7 linked regions of the Rattus norvegicus genome follow. The protein of the gene in region 5 interacts with the protein of the main gene of each other region in a pairwise test. Links are inferred from orthologs where the notes say so. Each region holds a gene or a part of one and is shown on either strand. Other genes may lie near its edges. The genes, in order: Apip, Glul, Dut, Hsd17b14, Nudt18, Rab3il1 and Evi5l.

Evidence for each region.
Region 1: the proteins of Nudt18 (region 5) and Apip interact in binary tests that used the Homo sapiens proteins (3 or more experiments, as listed by UniProt). The two-hybrid records come from large-scale screens. The link is inferred for Rattus norvegicus from reciprocal best matches to the Homo sapiens genes NUDT18 and APIP.
Region 2: the proteins of Nudt18 (region 5) and Glul interact in a two-hybrid assay, tested with the Homo sapiens proteins (2 studies listed by BioGRID and IntAct). The two-hybrid records come from large-scale screens. The link is inferred for Rattus norvegicus from reciprocal best matches to the Homo sapiens genes NUDT18 and GLUL.
Region 3: the proteins of Nudt18 (region 5) and Dut interact in binary tests that used the Homo sapiens proteins (3 or more experiments, as listed by UniProt). The two-hybrid records come from large-scale screens. The link is inferred for Rattus norvegicus from reciprocal best matches to the Homo sapiens genes NUDT18 and DUT.
Region 4: the proteins of Nudt18 (region 5) and Hsd17b14 interact in binary tests that used the Homo sapiens proteins (3 or more experiments, as listed by UniProt). The two-hybrid records come from large-scale screens. The link is inferred for Rattus norvegicus from reciprocal best matches to the Homo sapiens genes NUDT18 and HSD17B14.
Region 6: the proteins of Nudt18 (region 5) and Rab3il1 interact in binary tests that used the Homo sapiens proteins (3 or more experiments, as listed by UniProt). The two-hybrid records come from large-scale screens. The link is inferred for Rattus norvegicus from reciprocal best matches to the Homo sapiens genes NUDT18 and RAB3IL1.
Region 7: the proteins of Nudt18 (region 5) and Evi5l interact in binary tests that used the Homo sapiens proteins (3 or more experiments, as listed by UniProt). The two-hybrid records come from large-scale screens. The link is inferred for Rattus norvegicus from reciprocal best matches to the Homo sapiens genes NUDT18 and EVI5L.

The regions. Positions count from the first base shown.
Region 1 is NC_086021.1:109,910,919-109,913,455, forward strand, and holds the end of Apip (methylthioribulose-1-phosphate dehydratase), read left to right. Parts: intron 1-1,332; coding exon 1,333-1,500; intron 1,501-1,857; coding exon 1,858-1,957; 3' UTR 1,958-2,037; downstream 2,038-2,537. UniProt on the Homo sapiens protein: Catalyzes the dehydration of methylthioribulose-1-phosphate (MTRu-1-P) into 2,3-diketo-5-methylthiopentyl-1-phosphate (DK-MTP-1-P).
Region 2 is NC_086031.1:68,574,726-68,578,865, forward strand, and holds the start of Glul (glutamine synthetase), read left to right. Parts: upstream 1-1,340; 5' UTR 1,341-1,459; intron 1,460-1,810; exon of another isoform or gene 1,811-1,832; intron 1,833-2,123; exon of another isoform or gene 2,124-2,448; coding exon of another isoform or gene 2,449-2,537; intron 2,538-4,102; coding exon of another isoform or gene 4,103-4,115; coding exon 4,116-4,140. UniProt on the Homo sapiens protein: Glutamine synthetase that catalyzes the ATP-dependent conversion of glutamate and ammonia to glutamine.
Region 3 is NC_086021.1:132,959,399-132,962,898, reverse strand, and holds part of Dut (deoxyuridine 5'-triphosphate nucleotidohydrolase), read right to left. Parts: intron 1,565-3,500; coding exon of another isoform or gene 1,392-1,564; exon of another isoform or gene 1,006-1,391; coding exon of another isoform or gene 873-1,005; exon of another isoform or gene 341-872; coding exon 266-340; intron 135-265; coding exon 64-134; coding exon of another isoform or gene 48-63; intron 1-47. UniProt on the Homo sapiens protein: Catalyzes the cleavage of 2'-deoxyuridine 5'-triphosphate (dUTP) into 2'-deoxyuridine 5'-monophosphate (dUMP) and inorganic pyrophosphate and through its action efficiently prevents uracil misincorporation into DNA and at the same time provides dUMP, the substrate for de novo thymidylate biosynthesis.
Region 4 is NC_086019.1:105,164,303-105,168,494, reverse strand, and holds the start of Hsd17b14 (17-beta-hydroxysteroid dehydrogenase 14), read right to left. Parts: upstream 2,801-4,192; 5' UTR 2,735-2,800; coding exon 2,647-2,734; exon of another isoform or gene 1,851-2,646; coding exon 1,812-1,850; intron 1,695-1,811; coding exon 1,612-1,694; intron 684-1,611; coding exon 617-683; intron 1-616. Other genes in the region: Plekha4 (pleckstrin homology domain-containing family A member 4), read right to left, coding at 3,396-3,658, 3,758-3,870. UniProt on the Homo sapiens protein: Catalyzes the NAD(+)-dependent oxidation of L-fucose, yielding L-fucono-1,5-lactone, which rapidly converts spontaneously to L-fucone-1,4-lactone. Can also act on D-arabinose and L-galactose, with lower catalytic efficiency. Does not use NADPH.
Region 5 is NC_086033.1:52,058,968-52,063,096, forward strand, and holds Nudt18 (8-oxo-dGDP phosphatase NUDT18), read left to right. Parts: upstream 1-1,329; 5' UTR 1,330-1,406; coding exon 1,407-1,568; intron 1,569-1,612; exon of another isoform or gene 1,613-1,890; intron 1,891-2,045; exon of another isoform or gene 2,046-2,389; coding exon of another isoform or gene 2,390-2,431; intron 2,432-2,498; coding exon 2,499-2,712; intron 2,713-2,920; coding exon 2,921-3,516; 3' UTR 3,517-3,855; downstream 3,856-4,129. UniProt on the Homo sapiens protein: Mediates the hydrolysis of oxidized nucleoside diphosphate derivatives. Hydrolyzes 8-oxo-7,8-dihydroguanine (8-oxo-Gua)-containing deoxyribo- and ribonucleoside diphosphates to the monophosphates. Hydrolyzes 8-oxo-dGDP and 8-oxo-GDP with the same efficiencies.
Region 6 is NC_086019.1:216,086,419-216,090,703, reverse strand, and holds the start of Rab3il1 (guanine nucleotide exchange factor for Rab-3A), read right to left. Parts: upstream 2,801-4,285; 5' UTR 2,705-2,800; coding exon 2,694-2,704; intron 1-2,693. UniProt on the Homo sapiens protein: Guanine nucleotide exchange factor (GEF) which may activate RAB3A, a GTPase that regulates synaptic vesicle exocytosis. Promotes the exchange of GDP to GTP, converting inactive GDP-bound Rab proteins into their active GTP-bound form.
Region 7 is NC_086030.1:7,341,492-7,344,991, forward strand, and holds part of Evi5l (EVI5-like protein), read left to right. Parts: intron 1-1,480; coding exon 1,481-1,578; intron 1,579-1,669; coding exon 1,670-1,730; intron 1,731-1,915; coding exon of another isoform or gene 1,916-1,975; exon of another isoform or gene 1,976-3,500. UniProt on the Homo sapiens protein: Functions as a GTPase-activating protein (GAP) with a broad specificity.

The sequences.
Region 1 (2,537 bases), on a different chromosome or scaffold from region 5:
ACGAGCTGAGGACTCACAAGGCCCAGGGTTCAGTCCTCAGCAGCAGAGCCAAGCAAAACAAAGTCAGCATTAAACACTTCCTGTTACCAAGTGAGGTAAGCATGCGTTAATGTAGCTGCTGTCCACGTTGGAAACACTGTGCTCTGCTAGAGTGCAAAGGATACTAAGGGCCAGTCAAAGGACTTGTGTGGCTCTGTTTCACATGTATTTAACTTGTGAGGATCGATATCCTCTTGGTAAAGTGAGGGATGGGCTTGAATTATTTTCTGGTCTCACTGTGCTTTGAAATTATTTTGTGCCTGGAAATATTTCTGACTGTGTGGTATATGCTATGGGAAAATACAAGTCTGCCAGTCTTCTGGGTAGTTTCAGGAAAGATCTGAGGCCAGCAATTCTCTCCTTCCAATTATACAATGAATATTGTATAATTACTTCTGTCTGAACTACAATGGAGTCATGGGCAAGTCTATACTACCATGATAATGGTTGCCCAAATTATTAATCACACAACAGCTCCCTAGTCTATGCCAGCCTGAAAGTGGTCATTTCTGATAACACTTTGAATGCTTATTAAGTTTACTCACTGTTCGATGAGAAGGCAGCCTGAAAGAAATCCATGATTAAATGAAAAGTTGTCTGAGTTGTCATTGGTTACAAGGGAACTCAAGAAAAGGCTTAGATTATTTATAGCAAAGTTGCTTGCTTGAACTTTGTTATATTCTGACTTTATTTCATGTATTTATTGAGGAAAAAGGTAGAAAGTTCTAATACAGCAGATTTGAGATTATTTTGAAAGGATTATCGTAACCTTGGTAATTGTTGCTAGAAGGGTCTTTCTAATCTGGTGCCACAAACCACACCTCTATTGATTGGTTTGCCTGTCAAGACATTTTAGGATTCTGCCGAGATGAAATATAATGATTTCTTTTTATACTGCTGGGAAATGTTCCTATTGTTAATATATAGTTCAATGTCTCTTCCTTTCTGCACTTCTGTGTGTGAGGTATATCATCTCCTATCTCATGTTTAAAATGTTATGATTATCTTTGCTTCAAGGAAATACTTGTATGATCTTGATTTCTTTGTTAGGTTCTGGTATACTGTACAAGTTCCTGCCATCTAAACTTAGGGCTGCCTGCCAAATTCCAAAGGTGTCTTTTGGTATAAATGTTTATACAAGATATACAAGACTCTTGCCACATCTTGTTTTGAAGTTGGAGAAATCGGAGTGCTATTTAGAGATAAAGAGTTTCTGACTGGTTACTGACGGGAAAAATCAGAAATCGATTATTGATACTTTAATGGGGGAAAATGTCTTGTTCTGTCTTACAGATACGATGATATATTAGTGGTACCCATTATTGAGAACACTCCTGAAGAGAAGGACCTCAAAGAACGGATGGCTCGTGCCATGAATGAATACCCAGACTCCTGTGCAGTTCTAGTCAGGCGTCACGGGGTGTACGTGTGGGGAGAAACATGGGAGAAAGCAAAAACCATGTAAGACCGAATCTGAGGATATTTGGTACAAATCACACTCAGAATGTGGAAAGAACTCAACGGGTTTAGGATTTAGAATGAAATATGAGTCTTTTACATATTGTTGGTCAACATGTTTCAACTTCAGTAATCTATGTTACTTGTGGAGAGCTGATTTTCACTCTGTTGAATCATTGGGGAGTAGTGACTGAATCAGCTTTCAGTTAGGAAATTGTTGGGGTCAAAACAGAAAACCTTTGGTATAAGATAAGAGAAAAATGTAGGAAGAGCAGAGCAGAGCTCACATAGGGAGATATGGGGATCAAAAGAGCTCTGTCCAGACACACACGTGCAGGCCTTTTGCTCTTTCTTCTACAGGTGTGAGTGTTATGATTACCTGTTTGACATTGCTGTCTCCATGAAGAAGATGGGGCTGGATCCAACGCAGTTCCCAGTTGGAGAACATGGAATCGTATAAGCCAAGTGGACGCCTAAGAATCTCCAAAAATAAAACAAACTCAATTACGCCTTAAATAAAACTCTGCTACTTTTAAATGAGTTGGAAATTCTCTTGATGTCACTAATTTGTCACAGAATACTACCAATGGTCTCTTATACTGAATACTACCAGATAATCTCCTGTGACTTTAAATTCTTACAGTTTTAGGGGACAGGGAGGGGGGAATAAGAACGTATTTTATTTAGTGTTTTCTCATTTTAAAGATTATAAGAGAAATGTTTGCCTTCAAGTTAATTCCTTTTGTGTGCATTCTCAGAGAATTCTTTTTTATCTTTAAAGCACTGGTAATCATAGAATTTCCTTGAAATTTTCCACTTATTTATGGGATAACCATTTTATTTTAAGTTGATGCATAAAATATACATGAACTATTTAAAATTAGTGTGTCCTTCTTACTTGATGTAAAGATAATTGTATTGATTTCCCTTATATACTGTAGTACTTCTTCTACACAGGCTTAGTGAGTACCCATCATCAAAAATATTAAGAGCATTGTGTGAAATTCCCTCCAGTCTAAGTTGTCTGAGTAACAAATGAA
Region 2 (4,140 bases), on a different chromosome or scaffold from region 5:
GAGCCACAGTGTTAGACACACTTAGGGGAGTTGACAGAGGTTGACTTAAGAGGCCGAGCTATGTGTGTGTGGTCACAGGCAACATTTCTTTTTCATATTTGTGGTGCAAAACATAACCAGAAGAACAAACTCCATCCCTTCCTCTTCCAAAGGCACCAAGAGCATGGATTTCTGGTGTTAGAAAATCTCCATCTCAAACACCAGGGCTCCTGAAAACATATAATAAAGACCGGACATGAGGTAGATTTCATGTACTAGACACAGATTGCTCAGAACGTGGCATTAATAATATATGGGCCACGTCTATTTTTACAGGTAATTTCTGTGCACATTTTCAGTTTGTCTCATAGTGTTTACACATTATCTCAGCCAACACTGCAGGGTTAAGAAAGGAAAGAGAAACTCATTCCCCCCCCCCCCGCCCCGCTCCCCACATACTTAAAAACAAACAAGAAGCAAAAGCAGGGATTTCTTTCTTCCCTTGCTTTCTTATTGTTTGTTGAGACACGTTTTCTCTGTGAAACCCTGGCTGTCCTGGAACTCCCTCTGTAGACCAGACTGGCCCCGAACTCCGGAGATCCACCAGCCTCTGACTCCTGAGTGCTAGTACTAAAGGTATGTGCCACCACCACTCTTTAGCACACGGTCTGCATCCTGACTTCAAGTCTGGTGGACCGCTTTGAAAGTCCTTCCATCTGCTTTATTTTGCAGATCTAAGGAACTCGGGCACTGAGAGGCTCAGAGACTTGCGAGACACACAAGGCAACGTCAGTCAGTCTACGGTCCTCAAAAATCCTCTTTATAGAAACGTCACACTTGTGTTTAAACCGTGAAATCACAGCCTGATCACATCCCCCAAACCCAGTCAGGAAGCCAGGAAGATGGGGTCCTCCAGGTTCCGGGAATCCTGTCTGTCTCTGGCTCGCTCAACAAAGGGTAAAATTCTCTTCTGGGGTTCTGGATTTTCACCGACAGATCTCTCCGAAAACCTCTGTACTGTTAAGGTAGCAAAGGACCAAGGCCAAATGACGCTGAGACAGTCTCAGCCTGGGTCCGAGGGTCCAGAGGTCGCTAAAGAACGCGTGCTGCAAAGGCGCACAGCACCTTCGGCCCCGGCCCCCCAGCCGCCGCTGCCTCCCCTCCCCCATTCCCCTTTCTCTTTCTTTCTTCTGGGTCGCTCGCCCCACCCCGCGGTTCCTCACGGCTCCTGGGCCAATGGTCTCAGGGCCCCGGTGCACAGCAACTGATGGGCACGGGGTTCCAGGCCTAGGCCAGCCAATCAGGGCGCCTGGGGGCGGGCACAAGCTGCCAATAAAAAGTACTGAGCAGCCCGCAACCCTGCACAGCCGAGAATGGGAGTAGGGCGGAGTGTTTGAGCAGCACACCCATTTCCTCTCCGCTCTTCGTCTCGTTCTCGTGGCCTGTCCACCCATCCATCATCCTGCCGGCCACCGCTCTGGTAAGCGCACGGAGGGTCCAGGGGTGCACAGCCACCCGGGCTGTGGCGTCGCACTCTACATCCCAGCTCCAGTCTGTTGCTGCTTGGCGCGGGATGCAGCGTTCGTGCCTCCCGCGTGCTTGTAGCGTGCGGCTCGGGCCGGCTCTGTTTGGCGTTCCTAGGGCGCGCTGTGAGCCAGGCTCCGGGAAGGGCGGGGTTGCGGGTTGTTATGATCTGTTTTTTACTTGAGGCGGGAGGCGCCGCCCCGGAGGCGGGCGTCCTGGGTTGGCTACCAAGCCGAGATCCGGGGCGACTCGGTGGTCCCAGCGGGAGTGCGCTCTTCTTGCCTTAAGTGGGCGCCGGCGCCTTGATCCTCTCTGGGCGGCGCGATTGGGTGAGTTGTCACGCTGTGGGTGGTCTGGTTGAGGCTGGTGGTCGTTAGCTTTGGTGGCACCACTCGCCAGCACGCAACGCCTTTACCGTATGACCGAACAATGGAGAGCCGGGACCCCGGAGTGGCCGGAGGGCTCTGCAGTGGAGAGGCGGGGCCGGGCGGAGGCAGCAGCAGCACGCTGTGCCTCCCGCCGTCGCTCCACTCTCGCCGTCCGGCCTCTGTCCTCGCCGGGGTATGGCCCCTTGGGAGAGGCCTTGAGATCTGCGGGGGTCCGAGAGTCGGGGCGCCGACTTTCCGGTTATTTTAGTGGGAAGGGCTGCTTCTCAAAGTGGATTACCCCAACTCCTCCGGGGGCGGGAAGCGGGGATCCTCCCCCAACCGCAAATACTCAAAGAAAGCACCGGCTGAAGACATAGACGATGGAGAGTCTCGGTTCTCAGAGTCCCCTTCTAATACCTTCGGCTTCGTTGCCTACTCTGTGAACAACGGGGAGAAGTCGAGGGCTAAGGTTAAATCCCACCAGCCTACTTATTCCAGCACCTCCCACTCCGAACGATCTGGGTCCCCCATCCCATCGCCCTCACCCAGAAAGCAGCGTTGCTTAGACCAGCGAGAAATGGAGCTGGAGGAGAGGAACGAACACTACTCTAAAAAGAGGAGGATTAGAGAGTACAACCTCAATGTATTTGATTCACATTGGCTGGGGTGAGTAAAAAGGCAGGGAGAAGGACCCGGGTGCATCTGGCAACAAGCAGAAACTACTCAGAATCTTAAGAACCCGTTCCACTTTGCACCACAGGGACACTAGTTGGTGCTAGGTACACTAGGCTGCTGGTACCCAACTGGTTTCCAGGAACAGAGGAGGAACCCAGGTTCACCTAAAGATTGTTAAATGCTGGATGTGTAAGCCACAGGAGAGGCAAGCCGAGAGAGAATTGGGTGGTGTAAGTTGAAGCCATCTGGAATTACAGTCCAGGCCTCGGAGTGGTGTAGGTAGAGGTTCTGGTTCTGTGTAGAAATCCACCGCAGAGATTCATCTGTTCCCCAGGGAAAGGGTTAGGCTTTTGGAGGGAGAAGCACTTGTTTTCACTTGGGCAAACATGGACAGTTGCCCGTAGAAACTTTGCCACTGTACTTCAGAAAGTTGCCCAAGTCGCTGGGAGGAGAACAATATGTTCCCTTTCCATCTATCCTGGGTGATTAGGGAGGGGGATGTTTCCTCTTGGGTTGAGGCTGGTTTTGCAGGCTCTGATTCATAGAGGATCTTGTCCCCTGCTCCTGTGACTTGTAATCTTGTGCCCCCGGGGTCTTTATTAGAGGTGGGATTTTTTTCTACTCACCAGAAAATATCATCTGGTGGGATCTTCTCAAATACTGTAATTTTCGCATTGAAATCTGTCTCTGGAGGAAGGACTTTTCATCCCAGTAATGAAGTCAGCCATTGAGGCCTGGTGTAGAGGGGAATACCTTTAATCCCAGTTCTCAGGAGACCGGTAGATTGTCTGATTTCAGGAAATCTTGGTCTTCATAATGAGTACCAGGACAGAGAGGGCTTGTAGAGAATTCCGTCCCCCCCCCCCCAAAATCAGCAGTGTACTCGTTCAAGTATGGCTTTTACTTTTCACCACATTAGTGGTGGCATTTAATACAGGGTTGTTTTTCTTTCTCCGAGGAGTATGTGAGTGTGTAAAATCTTACTAGCTCCAGTGTATCATTGTTAAATCTAACTTGGCAGTGGCACACACTTTTAATTTTAGCATTCGGGAAGCCAAGGCTGGCCGATGTGGGTATGAGGCTAGCCTGGTCTACATCGCAAATCCCAGGGCTACATAACTAGGTAAACCGTCTAAATGCAGGGACTAGGGGTCATGATGGGGTGTGCGTGTCCCTTAAGGTTGTTACAGGAATAGGAGGTGACAAAGGAAGGCTCAACAGTCCATTAGTCAAGGCTTTCTGTGGCAGTGAGGTAGTTCTGTTGGGTGGAATGAGTTATGTTAATGAGCTTTTTGATATTTTGTTCTGTTTTACTAATGTATCTCAAGGTTAACAGTTATTAAAATCCCTTAACTAGTCCCCCTGAGGGGGACGATCTTTGTCTAGTAGGAAACGTTAAACCTCTTGCAAACAGAGTGAATAAAGCACCTTTTACGTGTGTTGAGTCCCAAAGGAGAGAGAGCACGGTGCCCTCCATCCAGTCTGACTCCTTTGCCACTCCTGCAGGGGATCCCTTTGGAGTAGATGTTAACCGAACGATCTTCGTCTCTCTCCAGAACACCTTCCACCATGGCCACCTCAGCAAGTTCCCACT
Region 3 (3,500 bases), on a different chromosome or scaffold from region 5:
CTGAGCCATCCGCCCTCTGCTGGACACATCATTCATTCTCCACTCACTGTTAGCAACACTCACTTGCACCTCCTCTAAGTCTGGATAAAGAATCCGCTCACAAATGAGCTGCGCGATCCGGTCACCTTTTTTCACTTCAAAGAAAGAGCAGAGCACAGATCACCATGTGTACTGACCTATTTTCTGTCTTGTTCAGTGAGAACCAGTCAGTTACACTGACACAGGTAGCTCACATTTTCTACATACATGAACATATTTAACTCACCCTCGAACTTCTCTTTTCCAAAATTGAACAGCACGACGCCGACATTTCCTCTATAATCTTCATCTATGACACCGGCTGGAAGAGAGTAATGTCAGCTTCATTCGTGCCGTCAGAACATCGGGGGTCTGCACTGATCTCAAAACCACCTTTCCAAAGAGTCTCTGAGATTACAACTGACAAGGCCACACTCTGGTCCTACGGAGCCTGAGAACGAGTTTTACTAAAATACAAGAATTTAAAAAATGTGTCCCGGATTTCAGTCTGAATGCTCATCAAGTGGTGAGCATTTCCCACTGCAAGCTGAGCACAGCTCGTACTATCTCCCACCTCCAGGACACTACCCAGGCCCTGCATTGGAGAAGATGAGAAAATTAAAGCCCGGACCTCACATCTTCTTGGTAACAGCCTCACGGATACTCTGAGTCATGAACAAGCTCCAAAGCCGGGTGACCTGCACTGGGAGGTCAGTGGCCACATGCTCAGTGGCGTCCTGCAGCCATTAGAATAGGGGCGGAGCCAATGCTTACATTCTTCCTTTCATTTCCAACCCCATCCTCTAAAAACCAGTCGCTCTATAAACACTGGCTGGTAAGCTTAATGAGTTCACCTGAAACTTCTGTTGTTGCAACAGCACATGTGTGGAGGTCAGAAGACAACCGCTCAGCCAAGGGTCCCCTGCCACCACGTGGGTCTGAACTCAAGTCCTTAGGCTCGGAGCAGGCGAGGACCCAGCGAGCCATCTTGCTGGGCCAAGATTAGTTTTAAATGTCTAATTAGTACCTGTTTGATATTATAAAGTAAAATAGATCTTTAAAGGAGACCTTGCTGCGGCCCAGAAGATACATGCCCCAGACTTGCCCTCAGCTGTCCCGGAGCCAGGAACTTGATGTGTTTACAGAAGCACAGATAATGTGGCTAACAGCCCTCCGTTTCTAACATGGAGATCTAATTCACATGTCAAAGGCAGTTCATTCTGTCTAGACGATCTATTTTTTTTTTTTTAGCAGAACAGTAACAAACCTTTCACCAATTCAAATTATTATATAAGGTTTCCTTTTTACCGGTTTATTAGTTTAGTCCTTAGTACTTAGGAAAAGATCTGACATGAAGATTGGGCCGGCTGTTTTCATACTCTTTGGAGAGAGGTTGACTGCAGATGATGTCGCTTGCACTTAACAAGGCAAGTCCTTAGTACAGAGCAAGTTGTTCCATGTTGGAATGAATGATCACAGAAGGCTGGAAATTTTCCACCGTGGAAGACCTTTGAGGTACAGCCTAATAGGCCTATTGCAAGTGAATCTGTGGAAGACAACTTGGACTGACTTCCAAATTCTTTTGGTTACTCAAACAGTATCACCATGCACAAGGCGAAGTCAACATTATAGTAACAAAATTTATAATCACTTTAACTCTTCCACCCAAAGTGTGTGTCTGCTCTGGCAAGGGATCACATCCAAAGACTTCATGTCTCTATGATCCAGTCAGAATAGACATGCCCTTAGTACACCTTCAACCTCTAACAGTGAAGGTAAGGTCAGTTTGTAGAAGGAAAGCAGCCATGCTTGAAAGTGACAGCTAACTGAAGAGCAGACACCCAATGAACAGCACAGGAAGAGAGGCTACGTACGTACGTACGTACGTAAGGGGGTGGGGGAGTAGCGTACAGAGACAGATCGCAGAGAGAACAAGCTAAACACAGATGAAGACAGAATGAGCCAGAGACGGAGGAGCCAGACAACTAGAACAGATTGTCCAAGTCAGGGTGAGACCGTTAGGCAGAGCTCAGAAGCCAGGAGAAGCTGGACTGAATCAGTCACCTTCGCAGATTAGACTGTACAGAGGCTAGAAGCTTCCAGGCCCACGTCTAGATCTAGTTCAAACAGAGGGAAATGTTCTGAGCTCATTCCAAGCTGTGTACTCATTCAGCTTGGGTATGGCCCCATCTTATCCACCATCTGAGGAAGTAACAGTGACATTGACACCAAAGCAGTTATCCGGGGGTTGGGGATTTAGCTCAGCAGTAGAGCGCTTGCCTAGAGAGCGCAAGGCCCTGGGTTCGGTCCCCAGCCCCGAAAAAAAAACAAAACAAAAACAAAACAAAACAAAAAAAAAAACCAAAGCAGTTATCCTCTGAAACAGCACGAACTCTAGCCATTCCTTCTAGATACACATGTAGAAAAAACGCCAGTACTTTTACATGAATATTGTCTTACATAAAACCAGTTAGTTATGTTGCCTTCATGTTTCTGCTATGACATACACAGAACAGTCCTTGATGTATATACCTGTACATTAGTGCTAACTCAAGGAAGTTACAAAAACTTCTGTGGGTCAAAGGATGGATGTTGTTGTAAAATTATAAAAAGGGGCTGTCTTTTACCCAGCTAGGTTTGGCACTGTAGTGCCCCAAGATATCTCATCAGAAGCACACATCCTAGCTCCATGGCGGCCCAATGTCTCTGCCACCACACCCTCTCCCAAAGACAAATCGCCACAAGAAAGAACACACAACCTCTGATCCAATTGATTCATAACAACCTGTAAAGGCACAGCATGGAATCTTAACGTCAGCCGTGTTCTCTCTGTGGCTTCTCCACCATCTCCTCTAGTCTCCTCCTCTTCTCTCAAACTTTTCTCCCGCCCATCCTTTCTTCTCATCCAATCACAGGCCTGGTTCTATCCTGTACCCACCCTCACCTGTATGACATCCCACAGATGGAGATGTATATGAGGCCCTGCTAGATAACCCCCCAAAGCAGCAGTCATTCCAGCTTCCAGCAGCAATAGTTGAGGGTCCATTTGTGCTAGGACAGATGGTAGCAGTTTAACTGCTGGCCAATATAATAAAGAAAGCACTCCTTTCCCCATGGCTGACATCTTTCTGTATGAATAATGAACACTTGTATGTCCATACATGTTTCTATATTGTCTATGATTTTTAATGTGTTTTTTCATGAGTTGCAAATATAGTAATTTTCTAGTCTCACACACACACACACACACACACACACACACACACACACACACACACACACACGAGACACACCCTTTTGCTGTGTATCTGCAAGTTCTCCTGTATTCAAATAGCTAGGTGTCCTGAATTCTATGAAGCCAGGTCATTTTATGTGCTTGGAACATGAAAATGGGAAAATCTTAAGACTAGCAAGCAAATAAATAACCAAAACAATGCTGGCTCTGGTGGCAAAGGCCTACAATTCCAAGTACCTGGAGGGCG
Region 4 (4,192 bases), on a different chromosome or scaffold from region 5:
GGTTTAGAGCATGGCTGCTGGTCCAGAGAACTAGGTTCAACTCCCAGCACCCACATGGTGGCTCAGAACTGCCTGTAACTCCAGTTGCAGGGGATCCAACTCCTTCTGGTCTCTGTGGGCACCAGTCATGCAAGGGGAGAACAGACATACATGCAAGTGTAAACACACACACACACACACACACACACACATGTGCGCGCACGCGGGAGGCAGAGGGCTATGTGTCCTGAGGAAGGGGTAAACTGAGGTTCAGAGGAAGGATTGGGCTGTTGAAATGGCTCAACTGTACCTTTACACTTGTGCCAAGCCTGATAACCTGAACTCAATCCCACATGGCCGAAGGAGAGAACTGATTCCCTCTTGTTGCACTGAACACCAGAGAAGTACTTACTGTGCATGAGAGTGCGAGTGCTTGTGCAAGCACACGCTTACACACATGCACATCGATAGACAGATAGATAATAGATAGACAGATAGATAAATAATAGATAGATAATAGATAGATAGATAGATAGATAGATAGATAGATAGATAGGGCAATAATTTTTAAGAGAGGAATGGGGAAGAGGGTATAAGTAGATGTCAGGGACACTGGCCTCCAAACCACACAACTTACGGTAGCCGGCATTATTCACCACACAATCCAGGTGACCAAATCGAGAGACAGTCTCAGAAATCAGAGTCTGAGGAGAGAAGAAAGAGCAGGTGATGAGCTGAGAGGTGACAGCCTTGGAAAAGCCAGGAGGCCCAAGGCAAGGATGGGCTCAGCTAAGGAAGACAGGGTAGGGTGAGGTGGAAGGGGACCAGGGCCACAGAATAGGTCTAGAAAGAGAGGAGGATGCAGGAAGTCGAGGACCCAGACTAAAAGGACTGATCCACACAGCACAGTTGCCACTTGTCACAGCGTTCCTATTGCTGTGATAAGCACCATGACCAAAAGCAACCTGGAGAGGAGATGATTAATGTCTGCCTACAGCTCCCAGGTCATATCTATCACTGAGGGAAGCCAGGACAGGGACTCAGAGCAGAAGCTCAAGGCTGGGACTGAAGCAGAGGCTGTGGACGAACACTGTTCGCTGGCTTGTTCCCATGCCTCGTCCAGCCCCTTTTCTTAGACTATCCAGGACCACCTGCCCTGCAATGTCACAACCCCCAGGGAGCTGGGGAAACTCCCACATCAACCACTAATTAATTAAGTGACCAACAGGCTTGCCCACATGCCAATTTGGTGGGGCCATTTTCTAGTGAGATTCCCTCTTCCCAATGACTCTAGCTTGTGTCCAGTCGATTTAACACTAACCAGCACACCATTTTAGAAGACTTCGGAGGGGTGTGTGTGCAGAAGACAGAGCCTCAGAAGGAGAGTCTACAGACCCGAGTGCAGTGGGGAGCAGAGAGACAAAGAAAGACAGAGGCCCAGATAGGAGCTAGACCTGGAAACACATAAGAGATTCTGAGTGCCAGGAAGTCAGAAACTTGTTACAGGAGCCAAGAGTTCAAGTCCTGATCATTCCTAAAGACCTGAGAGAGAAGAGGGCAGAAGGACGGAGGTGACAAGGGCATGGATACCCAGAGGGACTGGCGATGGAGTGTGGGACAGAAAACACTGACCTGTAAATCTCCTTCCTGAGTCACGTCACCGGGGATGAAGACAGTGCCCAAGAGTTCCTGCTCCACAGCCCGGCCCCCAGCCTCTGCAAGAGAAAGATTCTGGGTCCGAGGGAGGAGGCTTAGGAATGTGGGTCTGAGGGAGGAGAGCTATGCAGAGATCATTGATGAGGCAAGGGAGAGATGAACACTGATTCACTCACCATCCTTGTCACAGAAAACCACTTGAGCCCCACTGTCCACTGCCAACAGAAAGAGAACGATGTTACCTGCCCTGCAGACTTGCGTCACTGCCTCTGCTGCCCTCTTGTGGCCACCAGAGCACCTGCCTCTCTGGCGGCTCTCGTGATTGTCTCTCTCACAAGATTGTCTCCACTCACAAGAGCAACAAATTACCCTTCCTCATTAAGCCACTGCTTGGCCCCCATCCTGGATTCTAGAAAAATCCAAAACCTACAAACAATAAAACACACAAAGCTATCATTTGCAGCTAGGGACCCATCTGGGGAAGAACTTTTTTTTTTTTTTTTTTTTTTTTTTGGATTTTTGAGATAGAGTTGCTCTGTGTAGCCCTGGCTGTCCTGGAACTCACTCTCCTGGCTGGCCTCAAACTCAGAGATCCACCTGCCTCTGCCTCCCAAGTGCTGGGATTGTAGGCATATACCACCACTGCCAGGCCAGTGGAAGAACTTTTAATGACCGACCTATCAACAAAGACCCAACAATCCAAATGGATTCATGTAAGAATGAAACGGAGGGACCAGAGAAATGGCTCAGCGGTTAAGAGCACTGGCTGCTTTTCCAAAGGACACAGGTTCAGTTCCCACCGTCCACATGGCAGCTCACAACTGTTTATAACTCCGGTTAGGAGGGATCTGACAACCTCACCCAGGTACAACGACAACGCACAGAGAAAATTAAAAACAAACAAATCATTAAAGAAATGAACCTGAGTCTCCTCCTCCCACTGTGGGAGCCTCTGCCAGCCGCTCTTTCTCTCCTACAATTCAGGCAGCAGGCGGGAAGACCCTTACTCACCGAAGGCTCTCACGATCGCAGCCCCGATGCCCCGACTGCCCCCAGTCACCACCACCACCTTCCCAGAATATCGGCCTACTGCAGCCATTCCCAGCTATCTCGCTCGTGTCCCACACCCTCTGGGCCTCTTCCCACCTTTAAAGTCCAGAGAAGCGGGGGAGTGGAACCAGATATACAGGCTGGGTCACTGAAGGCTGACCCTGGCAGGGGGAGTTCCCAGGAAGGCACACCTAGGAGAACTGAGGACTCTCCTTCCTAGCCCTCTTTCTCAGACCCAGGGTCCCCACCCGTGATGATCCTCCTTCAGACCCAGGGATCCCCATCCTGACACTCCTCTTCCAGGCTCAGGGACCCCCACCCCAGCTCTGCCCCCTCAGACTGACTCTAGCCCTGCTCCCTTTGACTTGTAAGACCAGCACCACTTCTGCCTTGACTCAGGATCCAGACTCCAACCTCCTCCCTCAGACCCATATTTTAAGATGTAGCCCCCCAATGTCCTGTGAATCCAAGGCCCTGACGCTTGTTTGTCAGAACACAATGTCACAACCACAGAGAGAATAAAGCTATTTATTGACTAGTTCAAAGTTTTAATCCAAGTTCGGACAGTGTTGGGATAATCAATCTTTGACCATCATAGCCCCGGCCCTCCTAGAACACAGGCTGAAATGAACCTCTCCCCTGTGGTCCTGAATGGTCCCACACCTCAAGGTTGTGCTTCCAGCCTTTAGCACCCAGTGCAAAGGCAGGAGTCAAAAGCTGGACTGCAGCAGAGTGACTCTCAGGGGCCATGCCCCCTCTTCCTGGGCCAGAGCTGGAGGGGCCTTCCCAGGGTCCCACCTGGGCTCCCACGGAGCCAGGCCTCTCCCACTCCCTTGGCATGAGAACCCTGTGGTAGCCGAGTTAGCCTTGTGAGAAGTTGGGGACGAGGTGACCTGGGGCAGCTCTTCACTGGGAGGCTGTGGACTTGGCTGGAGACAGTCTCCCCTGGTGTCCAAATTTCTCTCTGGAGAGGCTAAACGGAGAATGAGAAAAGTGTTAACTTAAACGTGTAAAGTCCAAACTTCCAGGCCTCCTTCCTCAGATGCGGGGGTTCAGAGCCTGGGCACCTCACCTGTCATCAGCCTGTGCCACTGGGAAGCCTCTGTAGCAAGAGCTTGGGAGAGGCTGAGCACTCGTTCCCGGTGGCCTCCAGACACGGGTGAGTAGGTTGTGGAGTGCCTAGGACTACAGAAAATAAGCCACGTGTCAAACAGGCCACCGAGGCTCCCGGGGAGTTCTTCCTAGCTTTTATCTAGAGGACGTTAAGCACAGGCTTTGTTACCAGTAGACCAGCAGGGAGGTCACCATTACTGGATGAACAGCTGGATCTGATTCAGGCCACAAGAGCTCTGCAGTCTCTGACCCACCACCAGGGGCTTCCTGGCTTTTTTGTAGTTACCTCGGGAACTCAAGGGACTCAGAAGTTCTGGGGACTTGTTTGGTACACAGGAAACTATAATAACACCACTGCTCCCCTGTCTGCATCAAGAATTGACCCCCCCACCCC
Region 5 (4,129 bases):
CTCTGTGTGTGTGTGTGTGTGTGTGTGTGTGTGTGTGTGTGTGTGTGTGTGTGTGTTCTCGCGTGCTGGTGTGTTCTATGGGCTATGGCTTTGATATCCTACCTAGAGAATAGGTGGGCTGTCTGGTTCAAATAGTCAGTCCACAGCTTCTCCCAGGCTGCTATCTTGGCTTCTCAACAAGCATGGAAAAGGAGGGCTGTTACAGACCTACTGTACAGATGAGGACATTGAGGCCACCCAGGACACAGAGCAAGTCAGCCAGGAGTGGCTGGATGTCTGGTTTAAACTCCAGAGCTGTGTCAGCACCACCAAGCCACTGTCCCCCAAAGGAGGTACACAGAGCCAGCAGAAGGCTGGGAGGAGGGAAGGGAAGGCAGGGATGGAGTGAGGAGCCCAGACTTGGCCTGCTCTGTGGATTCCTCCCAGCTGGCCCTGCCTTCCTGTCCTGAGTGGAGGTTAAAGAAGCTCAGAGGAGGAAAGGTCAGGCTGGGAGAGAAGCAGGAGCTAGCCAAAACAATCCACACCCTGTTCCCCATGGCCAGGACCTGAACGCTGGGTAGGAGGGCACCACCCCTGCCCTCTAAAGATGTAGTCTGCTTCAGAAGCCTTGAAACTACAAGGGAAATGCATTGAGCATAGGAATCGGATACAGGCTACAGTGCTGACTTAAAGCTCCTTTTCATCCCCCAATAGCTTCTTCTCATTCCAGCCCTGTCCCACCTTGACCACCTGTCCTACCCCTCCTCTAAGGCCTGTCAATCATGTTTTGTTTTGTTTTATCCCCCAAACCAACCCTTTAGCCTAGGACTTTTAAAATGGCTTGTGTCCGTCGACCTAGACAGAGCAGAATTCCTAACGCAACGTTATGTGTCTCAGAACATTTTAACGAAGTCAGAAAGTTATTTGGGGCCAATCTGTCCTGAGCACTTCTCTAGTTTGTTTATGGTAAAAGCTGGACCGGTGGGAGCAAACGGCGGAGCCTCGGCTTCCGTAATGTCATCGGACAAGTGACGCCATCGACCCTGGTCACGGTGGTGTTCATCACCCTACAGGCAGGATGACATCACCGTCGGAACCCGCACGGACAAGTGCGTGCTGGGTGAATTAGCTAATTGCTGGGGAGAGTGTGGAGTGAGCGACCAGCGGCTAAACCCCGGGAGAGGAGGGGGCAGAGGGAGGATCCCGGAGCCCCGCCCCCTCGGTAACCGCTGCGAGATGGCCAATCCGGGCAGGCCGCAGTGATGCGCAGCCTATCAGAGACCAGATGTCTCCCGGAGGTTCCGCGTTAGACTTGGCCCTCAAGGCAGGGGGGGGGGGGGGGGGGAGCGGCCCACCGCAGCTCAAGTCCCTGCTGCCTGCCTCCGGGGGTCTGGCAGGTCCCGGCCTGCCACCTCCCCGGAGACTTGATGGCCACGGAGGGCCTGGCAGGGGCGCTGGCCACCGTGCTGGGGGGGAAGGGGTTGCTGGTGCAGAGCTGTGACTCGGAGCCGGCTGGCAAGCCGCTGTTGCCCGTGCGACTGCGGAAGAATGTCTGCTACGTGGTGCTGGCCGTGTTCCTCAACGAGCAGGTGAGCGTCCGACGACTAGCCAGCCTTCGGCTGGTCTCGGGAGCGTGCCGCCTGCCCTGATCGAAACAGGCGAGCCAACGGCCGCTGCCTGTGCGTGGCGATCCCAATGTTGCAAAGCACTCTCACACTAGCAACTGAGCAGAGATTGTCCTTATATAGACTCTATAATATAGAAGAAGAAGCTGAGGTCCCGGAGCAGTTATCTCATTCACTAGACCTCGTCCCACACCAGGAGAGGCCTGTAGTATTCCTCCTTCCTTTCCAGGAGTCTAGCAGTGCCTGACATGCAACGGGGATTTCCTGGACTCTCCCGGCCCCAAGGGTAGAAATGGGAAGCTTACATGCAGGCCTCCGACCCTCAGAGTTCTTTTTAGTGATTACCTCTGTATAAGTCAGCGTTATAAAATCCTGGCCAGGGGTTGGGGATTTGGCTCAGTGGTAGAGCGCTTGCCTAGCAACCGCAAGGCCCTGGGTTCGGTCCCCAGCTCCGGGGGGGGGGGGGGGGGGCGCGGGTATCCTGGTCAAGTAGGGGTAGGCTGGTATGGAGGTGGAGCTGAGTTTCAAAGCCTCAGATCTTAGATTGAGGATCTGACACAAGCGGTTTGTAAGTCACATGGAAACAAGAGCAAGACAGTGGCATAAATGAGTCAGTATAGGAGTGGTGGCAGCCTTCAGGATGAGGCCTCCTTAGAGCAACGCCCAAGGACCTCAGACCCTTTCTACAACAGAAATTCCTCCGGGTCCAAAGTTGAGTTACAACAAAAAGGAGGCAGCCACAGCTCTCAGCCTCACCAGGGCCTGGCTCCTGGGGATCCAGCATCATGAAGGTGTCTCTACTAAAGGAGCTTTGGACCACCATCCAGGTAGGAGCTGCTCTTTTGAAGCTCCCAGATTAGCTGGAAAGTGAAGATTGTCTTGCTTCCCTCTCAGGATGAGGTGTTGATGATCCAGGAGGCCAAGAGAGAATGCCGGGGAACATGGTACCTCCCGGCAGGAAGAATGGAACCAGGGGAGACCATCGTGGAGGCCATGCAGCGGGAGGTGAAGGAGGAGGCTGGGCTGCTCTGTGAGCCAGTGACACTGCTGTCTGTGGAGGAGAGGGGTGCCTCTTGGATCCGTTTTGTATTCCTTGCTCGACCAACAGGTACAACACAGCTGGTAGCATTCAAGCACCTTTCTTATTGTTTCTTCTTCTTAGCCAGCCATACTGTGGGCTTCTGCACATTGCCCAGGCTAAGAGGCTACAAGCTAAGAGTTTTGGGGTCTCCTGGGGGTGTTTGGGGGGCCATTTACTCTCTCAGGCTCTACACTTCTCATATTGGCCCTCTCCCCATCCTCCAAATCTCTCCTAGGTGGAGTTCTCAAGACTTCCAAGAATGCTGATTCTGAGTCCCTACAGGCTGGCTGGTACCCACGGGTCTCCCTGCCCACACCGCTTAGAGCTCATGATGTTGTGCACCTGGTAGAGCTAGGTGCCAAATTCTGCCAACAAGCCACACACCCTCTCATTCTGCCTCAAGAGCTTCCCTGCAATATGGTCTGCCAGCGGCTGGTGGCCACCTTTACAACAGTTCAGTCAGTGTGGGTGTTGGTGGGTACAGTGGGGACACCTCACTTGCCCATCACTGCCTGTGGCTTTACCCCTATGGAACAAAGAGGTGGCATCAAGGTGGCCATCTTGAGGCTACTACAAGAGTGTCTGACTCTGCACAGTTTGGCAGTGGAGACCAAGGGGTTGCTTGGGCTGCAACATCTCGGCAGAGACCACGTGGATGGTATCTGCCTGAATGTGCTGGTGACAGTGGCTTTTCGGAACCCAGGAATCCAAGATGAGCCCCCAAAGATTCGGGGGGAAAACTACTTTTGGTGGAAGGTACTGGAGGAAGACTTACAAAAACAGCTTCTACACAGACTCCAGGAATCTTCTGTTGTCCCCCTGACCAGATAGATACCAGCAGTGACCAAAAGCTGAGCAGCCACCCTCCCTCTGAGGCAGTGAAGAGACTGGCAGTCAGGGGTCTCATTGCACATTACTCAGGTACAGGAACTACACATTGAGCCCAAAGGGAGGGTGCCATGAATCCAGTCATTCTGAGGGCACACGATGCTTCTCTTTAAGTTTGAAAGGAGCTTTTCGAACCGTAAATGGCACCATCTTCTCTGTCCACTTTGGAAAAGGCCGCATGTCAATCCTTCCAACCCCACAGCAATGTAGAGGGGGATGGGACAAGGGGGATGCATCCCTCAGGGCAGAGTCCTCATTGCTGAGTAAAAAGGTGTTGCTTAACTTGCCTACTTGCCTAAATGTCTGTGTGGGGAGGATATGGGGCATTGTCCCACCCATAGCCACCCAGGTCTTTCCTTACTGATTCTATGCAGGGGTGTAGGGCTCCTGGAGTAGACATTGCTCCTCACTGAAGCCTCGACCCACCCAGGCTCTCTTTAGTGTTTCTGTCCTGTTGGGGCAGGCGTGGGACTTTGAAGTGACCACACCCCTAATAAAAACAGAGCTCAGACCTGTCCAGGTGGTGAATGGTTTGGTCTGGTGAAACTGCCTATGG
Region 6 (4,285 bases), on a different chromosome or scaffold from region 5:
CTGTAGGAGATGGAGGAGGGGAAGCCCAGTCTGCGGTCTGTGGGGGAGGTGGAGCCCCTGGAAGTGAGGTTAGATAGCTAGGCATAGCAGTGCAGCATCCTGGAGGCTAATCAGAGAGGGTTAAGAGTTCTAGGCCAGTGAGACGGTTAAGGAGGAAAGAGGCTTGCTGTATAAGCTTGGGGGGCCTCAGTTTGATCCCTAGAACCCACATAAAAGTAGAGTACCAAACCCACAAAGTTGCCCTCTGACCTTATCATGTGTGTGTGGTGACACATGTGCTCTCTCCCTCCATCTTACGCACACTTACACACACACATACATACACACACACATACACACACATACACACACACATACATACACACACATACACACACATATACACACACATACATACACACATGCACACTTACACACACACATACATACACACACACATACACACACATACACACATATACACACACATACATACACACACATACACACACATACACACACATACATCACACACACATACATACATACACACACATACATATACACACACCATACACACACACACATACATCACACACACATACATACATACACACACATACATATACACACACCATACACACACACACACACACACACACACACACACACACACACACACACCACACTAATAAAAATGTCTTTAAAGAGAGTTCCAGATCAGTTTAGTCTACATGGTAAGAACCTGTGTCCAAAATAAAGCAAACCAAAACGACACTTAGGTTGGCTATGCAGCCCAGTTGCCTGAGTCCTGGCCCAGAACACAAAGGTCTAGATCCTGTCCTCCTCACTTCTAAACTCTAAACCAGGCATTGTGGCACATGCCTGTAATCCCAGTACTTGGGAGATGGAGAGAGAGGGTCATCCTTGGCTATACAGGGAGTTTGAGGCCAACCTGGGCTACATGAGACCCTGTACCCACTTCCTTTACTCCAAAAATCAGATTAGTATGGCCATTTACTTCAGAGTTCAAGGTTTATCTTCAAAAGGATCTCTACTCCTGACTCCTACAGGATCCAGCCAGTCACTTTGGCTTATCTCCATTTAGGACTCTGCCGTAAACAAACACCATAGCTCAGTTCCATTTACAGCAGGAAGCCAGGCCCCAACCCTTCCTGGGCTAGGATACATACCTCCTAGGATATAGCCCTTAGAGTTGACATCAGCTTCTAGGGATCTCATAGAGTGACCTGCAGTGTGTGACCCAGAGCGTGGTCCCTCTTAACAGCTGTAGGGAGTGGACTGCTCCAAGGCCCCTAAGTCCCCAGAGCATTCCGAACCCTATGTACAAAGGCTGGGAGATGGCTTAGTGGGTAAGAGTGGGACACAGCACCATGAGAATCAGTGGTGTATACTAGCCACCAGCTTGGCTAAACAAGTCCCAGGGTTAGTGAAGAGACCTGGGAATACAGTGGAGACAGGAAGGACACCTGGCATCTCCTCCGGTAACACATACCCCCCCCCCACACACACACACACACGCACACCCAAAGTACTCAAGCTGACTCCAGCCCAGAGAAGGGGAGTTGTCACCCTAAGGGTTATACAGCAACTGTCTCAGTTCGCCCAGCAGAAAGGCTCACAGCTCCTTTCAGACCAGGCTGCTCCTCAAACACACAGCCTCAGGCAATGCATCCCTAAGTGGGATTGCCTCAATCTGAGGCAGGCTCCTTGAACCCATCCAAAACACTTCCCAAGTCTAGCTAGCTTCTTTCCCTGGAGCAAATTCCCAACAAACACAGGCTGGCTTCTGCTCCCTCTAAAAGATCAAGCCTGCCTACACCTCCCGGGAGCTCAGTTCTGGTGCCCTGGCTGGGGTTGAAGCGGCAAAGCTCGAAGCTCCCCAGCATTTCAGCTCAAACTCAGCTGGGGTCCATGAGAGTAAATAGATCTTACCTGTTCCCCTCCCCAGGGTTTCCTCCCTCCGCTTATCTATCGTGCCTATCGTCTGCCTATCCTGAAACAGTTCTTAGCAGGAACACCCCCAAGACCCTTTGCAGCCCAGGAAGGAGAAGGCATTTGCCTAAATTCAAGAAAGGACATCAACTTTATGTGAACACGAGGCTGGGACTCCTACTAGACTGGCCAAGAACAGGAGTCAGCCTTAAGAACCGATGGCCCTTCCGAAAAAAAGAACCAAAAAAAAAAAAAAAAAAAGAACCGATGGCCCTAACAGATGGGAGTGGGGATGAGGGGTGGGAAACGGGTTCACTCAGGACTCAGGGTCTATGCCTATGCCCCTCCAGGTTCCAGTCAACTAGCCAGAGACCTTGGAGAGACACAGCTAGCTTTCTCAACTGCACTGCTTCCCCAGAGTTTATGGGTGTTCCCTCCTTTAAATGTGTGCCCCAGTTTGAGGTATACATACTACTTACTCATCCCCATCACCACCACTTCTCTCATGCGCTCCACTGGAGCTAGGATCACCCTTCCCACCCTGGGGCAACTCAGATCGGTCCTGCCAAGGTCCTTTCAGATCTCAGGCTGCAGTGTGTCCTCATGCTACAATGCACCTCGCCGCAGCAGGCAGGGCTGAGAGTACAGATTATTTCCCAAGTGGGGTACAAACAACAGCAATGATCCCCTGTTCTCCCATCCCAGGAGGCCAGCGTGGCCCAGACCGAGCGCAGAGCCACCGGCGTGCGGGGACCTACCCGCTCCACATCCCGAGGTCTCCGCCGCAGCCGCGTCCACGCGCACCACCAACTCTGCCGGGCCCCAGAGCTGCCCTGCCGCCTGTCAATCGCTCCTCCGCCAGTCTGTCCCGCTGGCCGCCAAGGGTTTGCGGCTCCGCCCCACCCCAGACCTTCCCCTGCCCTGGGCGGGTCACGTGTCCTTGAGGCGGGCCCCAGGCCACGTGCCCGGCCCCGCCCCTCTGCCGGCCCAGCCCTGTCCCTCTTGCTGCTTGGGGACAATGACCCTCCGGAGCGAGAACGGGACTGGTCCCATCATCTCGCATCCAGATCTGGCTTCCGCCTTTCCCTATCACTCTCTGCCTTGCACTTTTAAAGCACCCTTGCTTGAGAACCTACAATGGCTCTCGGGGATCTCAGCTCTATTTCTCGGGCAGATTGTCACTCAAAGTGGGCAAACAGCTCCTGCACCCTCATTCAGACTTCTAACCCTGTTACCAGACTCTGGAGCTCATAGCTTTGCATCAATCCCAGAGTGACACTGGGCTTCTGGGAAGGGGGCGGGGCAGACCCTAAACGAATATTCATTGAGCGGTTTAAGCTAAGAGAGCACTACTTCGGCCCAATCTTACCAGCTTTGCTTCCAGGCCCCTCCTCTTATATCTCTGAATACTAGTTCATCCCAGCCTTCGAGCCATCCTAAACTCTGGAGACTACTCTGCCAACCTCACTAGCACCTGTCTGTCCCAGGTACTTTAAAAAAAAAATCTGTAAAAAGCTTGAATCCTTTGCCACTTTTCCCTCAGTTCCTATGCCCTCCTTTTATCCTAACCACTGACCTGAATGAAGTTCAGCCTCAGATCAGGATCCAACAAGTAGAGCCCAGAGTCAGCCCCTCCTTGAGAACTAAGACCAGCTCCCACAGGCAGGGTCTACAGCACTCTCTGGGCTTTTAAGAACACATCTCACTCATCCATCCACACAAACAGGCATTCAGCTGCCCCTTCTGAACTGCTCAGGCCACGTGAAACCAAGAGTTTCTCCAGGCCGGAACTCCTACCTCCCTCTCTCCTTTCCCTTAGGCCCCTCTTCCTCAGTGGGTGTGGGTCATATACTGCCTAGGTTGGTCTCCAGACCCTGGGCTAAACGGACACTTCCTCCTCAATGCCCTCATTGGCTGCAACTGCATGCTTGGCTTATGGAATTCCAGTATGGTAAATGGGAGACCTCTACTGCCAGACTTGCCTAGAACCCACCTTCACCAACGGATTATCTCTTTTAAAAACAGAAAAGAGGGGTTGGGGATTTAGCTCAGTGGTAGAGCGCTTGCCTAGGAAGCGCAAGGCCCTGGGTTCGGTCCCCAGCTCCGAAAAAAAGAAAAAGGAAAAAAAAAAAAAAAAAAAAAACAGAAAAGAAAGCCAGGGAATGATGGCACGCACCTTTAATCCCAGCACTCTGGAGGCAAAGGGAGGCAGAACTCCGAGTTCAAGGCCAACCTGCTCTACAAAGTAAGTTCCAGGACAGCTAGGACTGCTACACAGAGAAACCCTGTCTCAAAAGTCAAAAATCAAAACAAAATAAAACCCCACAACAGCAAAAGAAAGCCCACCCAC
Region 7 (3,500 bases), on a different chromosome or scaffold from region 5:
AGATTCTAAGAAATAGGCCAGGCAGTGGTGGTGCACACCTTTAATTGCAGCACCTGAGAGGCAGAGGCAGGCAGATCTCTGAGCTTAAGTTTCAGTATTGAAAAAAAGGAAACCAAAACAAAAAACAAACCAAGATTCTAAGTGATGGGGGGTGGGGGAGGAGTGACTTCCCAATAGAAGTCACTCTTGAGCATCTGGGATCCTTTCTGCCCTGAGGAACCCCAGGCTCTGTCAGATAGAACCCAGAGCCAGCAACCTAGCACTGGGGAGAAGAAGAAGCCAACAGCAGCTGGTCTGGGGAGGTCCTACTGACTCTTTCCTACCCACTGCTGCAGGTCCCCAGAGCTTGCCTGCAAAGTAACCCCTGGCTGACTTTGAGAGGTGTTTAGTATGTTTTCATCTCAGCTTTCAGCCTGGGGGTACAGAAAGGAGCCAGGTATCTTGAGGTAGCCTCCTACCGTGCTCCTCCCTGCCTGTGCCTTCCCCTGGCACAGCCTGCTAAATCAGAAGCCAGCTTTGCCCTCACCATGGTTTCCCCATGACACAGGCCCCTAACCCTCCCAGCATCTTCCAGCTGGTGCTTCAGGAAAGAATGCACAAAGACCACAGTTGTGTCTGCGAACACGGGCATACATTGTCCGAGGCTGCCTGACTGGAGCAGCTGGGCAGAGGAATAGGACCTCTGGGCTTGTCTACCCACTTCCTAAGGAGAGTTCCCCCATGCTCAGACCCCATTCATCCCAGCCCTGCCTTCAGGAGGTCCTCTAGCCTGATTGTCTTAGTTTTATTTATTGTTAGGGTCAATGTGGGGGTGGGGAGAGGGAGAGAGAAGAAGGTGGCTCATGGCTCACAATACTCACAGTTCAATTCTGTTTCCACTCTGAGTTCTCTCTTACTCTTTCCATTGTTGGTTCCAGGGATAGAACTCAGGTCAGGCCCTGGGCAGTACATTCCTTTACAGGCCAAGCTGATCCCCACTTTCAACCCGCCTGATTTTCTCAAGCTTACCAGAAAGCATGCTGGGAAGGCAGGTCTCCCTCCTTCCCTAGTTGTTCCTTCTCCTACAGTCAATTCATTTGCACTACAAAAAAAGGGGGCTTGGGGACTGGAGAGATGGCTCAGTGGTTAAGAGCACTGACTGCTCTTCCAGAGGTCCTGAGTTCAAATCCCAGCAACCACATGGTGGCTCATAGCCATCTGTAGTGAGATCTGATGCCCTCTTCTGGTGTCTGAAGACAGCTACAGTGTACAATAAATAAATAAATAAATAAATAAATAAATAAATAAATAAATAAATAAATAAATAAATAAATAAATAAATAAATATCTTTAAAAACATACATTGGCTGAGTAACCAAAGACAGACAGCCCAGATGGCTGAGACAAAGGGAAGCCCCAGGCAGTAGCAGGATACAGTGGGAGCCTAGGCAAACCCTGGTGGCCGGGACCCAAGTGATCGTAACTCTCTGTGTCTCCACAGTACTTCCAGAGAGTGATCCCCCACCAGTTTGACAGCTGCCCAGACAAGCTGGTCCTCAAGGCTTACCAGGTCAAGTACAACCCTAAAAAGATGAAGAGGTCAGTGCCCGGGAACGAACGGAGAACTCAAAAGGGAAGCCCTCCTCACCTCAGGGAGGCGGGACTTTGACCGTGTGCCCCGTCCCCGCAGGCTGGAGAAGGAGTACGCAGCTATGAAGAGTAAGGAGATGGAGGAGCAGATCGAGATCAAAGTGAGTTCCAGAGGCGTGAGGGAGGGCAAAGATGGGCTGCCTTGAGGCTTTCCCTCGCAAAGCCAGAGCTGCCCGCTAGAGGGCAGTCCTAGCTAGCGCATGCACGGATAGAACGGGCTGGCCTGGGCGGACAACTTCTGGCTCCGGATTACCCTCGCTCACTTGCCCCTTCCTTCACCTGCCAGCCCCGCGTGGGAGCGCATTCCCCAATTGGCATGTCCTCAAAGCTGGCCTCACAACAGTAAACAAGACAGTCAAAGTTCCTTGCTTTCATGTCCCCGAACCCCCCATGTCATGGGGCGATAGTCAATAAATCACTGAAATAGTGTGGATTCCAGAGTGCTCCGGATATAGTCATACAAGAGACAGTCGCATCTGGGGAGACACTCTAGGTCCAAGAGTCCAGTGTAGAGGGCCTAGGATAGAAGAATGTGCCTGGTGGACAGGAGAACACCCTGGGGACACAGAGGTTGGGAGCTAAGGAGAAAGGCTCAGGCAAGCAGGCTATGTAGGCTAAGGTATGGTCATCCACTCAGGGTCCTGATTGTACTGTAGCAGCCAGCCAGCCCAGCGTCAGTTCCTTGAGTGCACAAAACGTCCAAAACCAAACTTACCTCTCAATGGCCTCTTCACCCCTCTTCATGTGATTTTAGCCATTCATCCAACAAACATCTTTTTTTTTTTTTTTTTGATTCTTTTTTTTCGGAGCTGGGGACCGAACCCAGGGCCTTGCACTTCCTAGGCAAGCGCTCTACCACTGAGCTAAATCCCCAACCCCAACAAACATCTATTGAAACAAAGATGAGACCTAGTCTTAAGTGACAAGGACCTGGCTTCCCAGATAAAGGCACTCTTGAGCATTGAGAGTCCCTCAATATCTTTCCAAGGAAGCCCAGGTGCTGCCAGGTACAACCCAGGGCCAGGATGTAGAAGAGAGGAGAAAGAAAAGCTCATACCCACCTACTCCAACTGACCAGCTAGCTACACGTTCCCAAAGCCTGCTAGCCAGGTTAAGGACCCTACAACCCAATATAGGGGACAGGCAAGGACACGAACCTCCATATAGACCTGGTTTTGTCCTCCACACTTGATGAATCAAAGTGGTTAGCACTGGTGTCCCACTGAAGACCAGCTGTGTGGCCCTGGCAGGTAAATTCACCTCTCTGAGCCTTGGAGCTTTGCTGTGATGTTCCTGTCACTGTCCGCCTCCAGTGCATTGTTTCTACCTCCTGTGGGAAGTCAGGGGCAGAGGCCTGTGCCGCAAGCTGAAGCACTTGGCCCTGTTGAGGCTTCCAGAAAGATTTCCATCCTGGGTTTGTGAGCCATCTCACAAGGAAGTGTTGCACTAGACCAAATGTGGTTTTTGCTGTGTGCAGATGAGCGGCCTGCTCTCATCAGGAGACTGTGAGGCCCAGAATAGACAAGAATGCCATAGACCTTGAGACCACAGGCCAGACTGAAAGTTTCCCCTGAGAAGAGATTTCACCAGAGGCCTTGAAGAGTCAGGCAGATGTCTCCTCACAGGGTATCTTACAAGTGTCCTGCAGTTTGGTCTCTCACTTTTAGCCTGTCTTAAAACATCCTGATTTGATGCTGGGAGGTGGTGATGCATGCCTTTAATCCCAACACTCGGAGGCAGAGGCAGGTGAATCTCTCAGTTTTGAGGTCACCCTGGTCAACAGAGCAAGTTATGGGACAGCCAGAGCTATACAGAGAAACCCTGTCTCACAAAAGCCAAATAAAGTAACAGAAACAAATCCCTTATTTGCT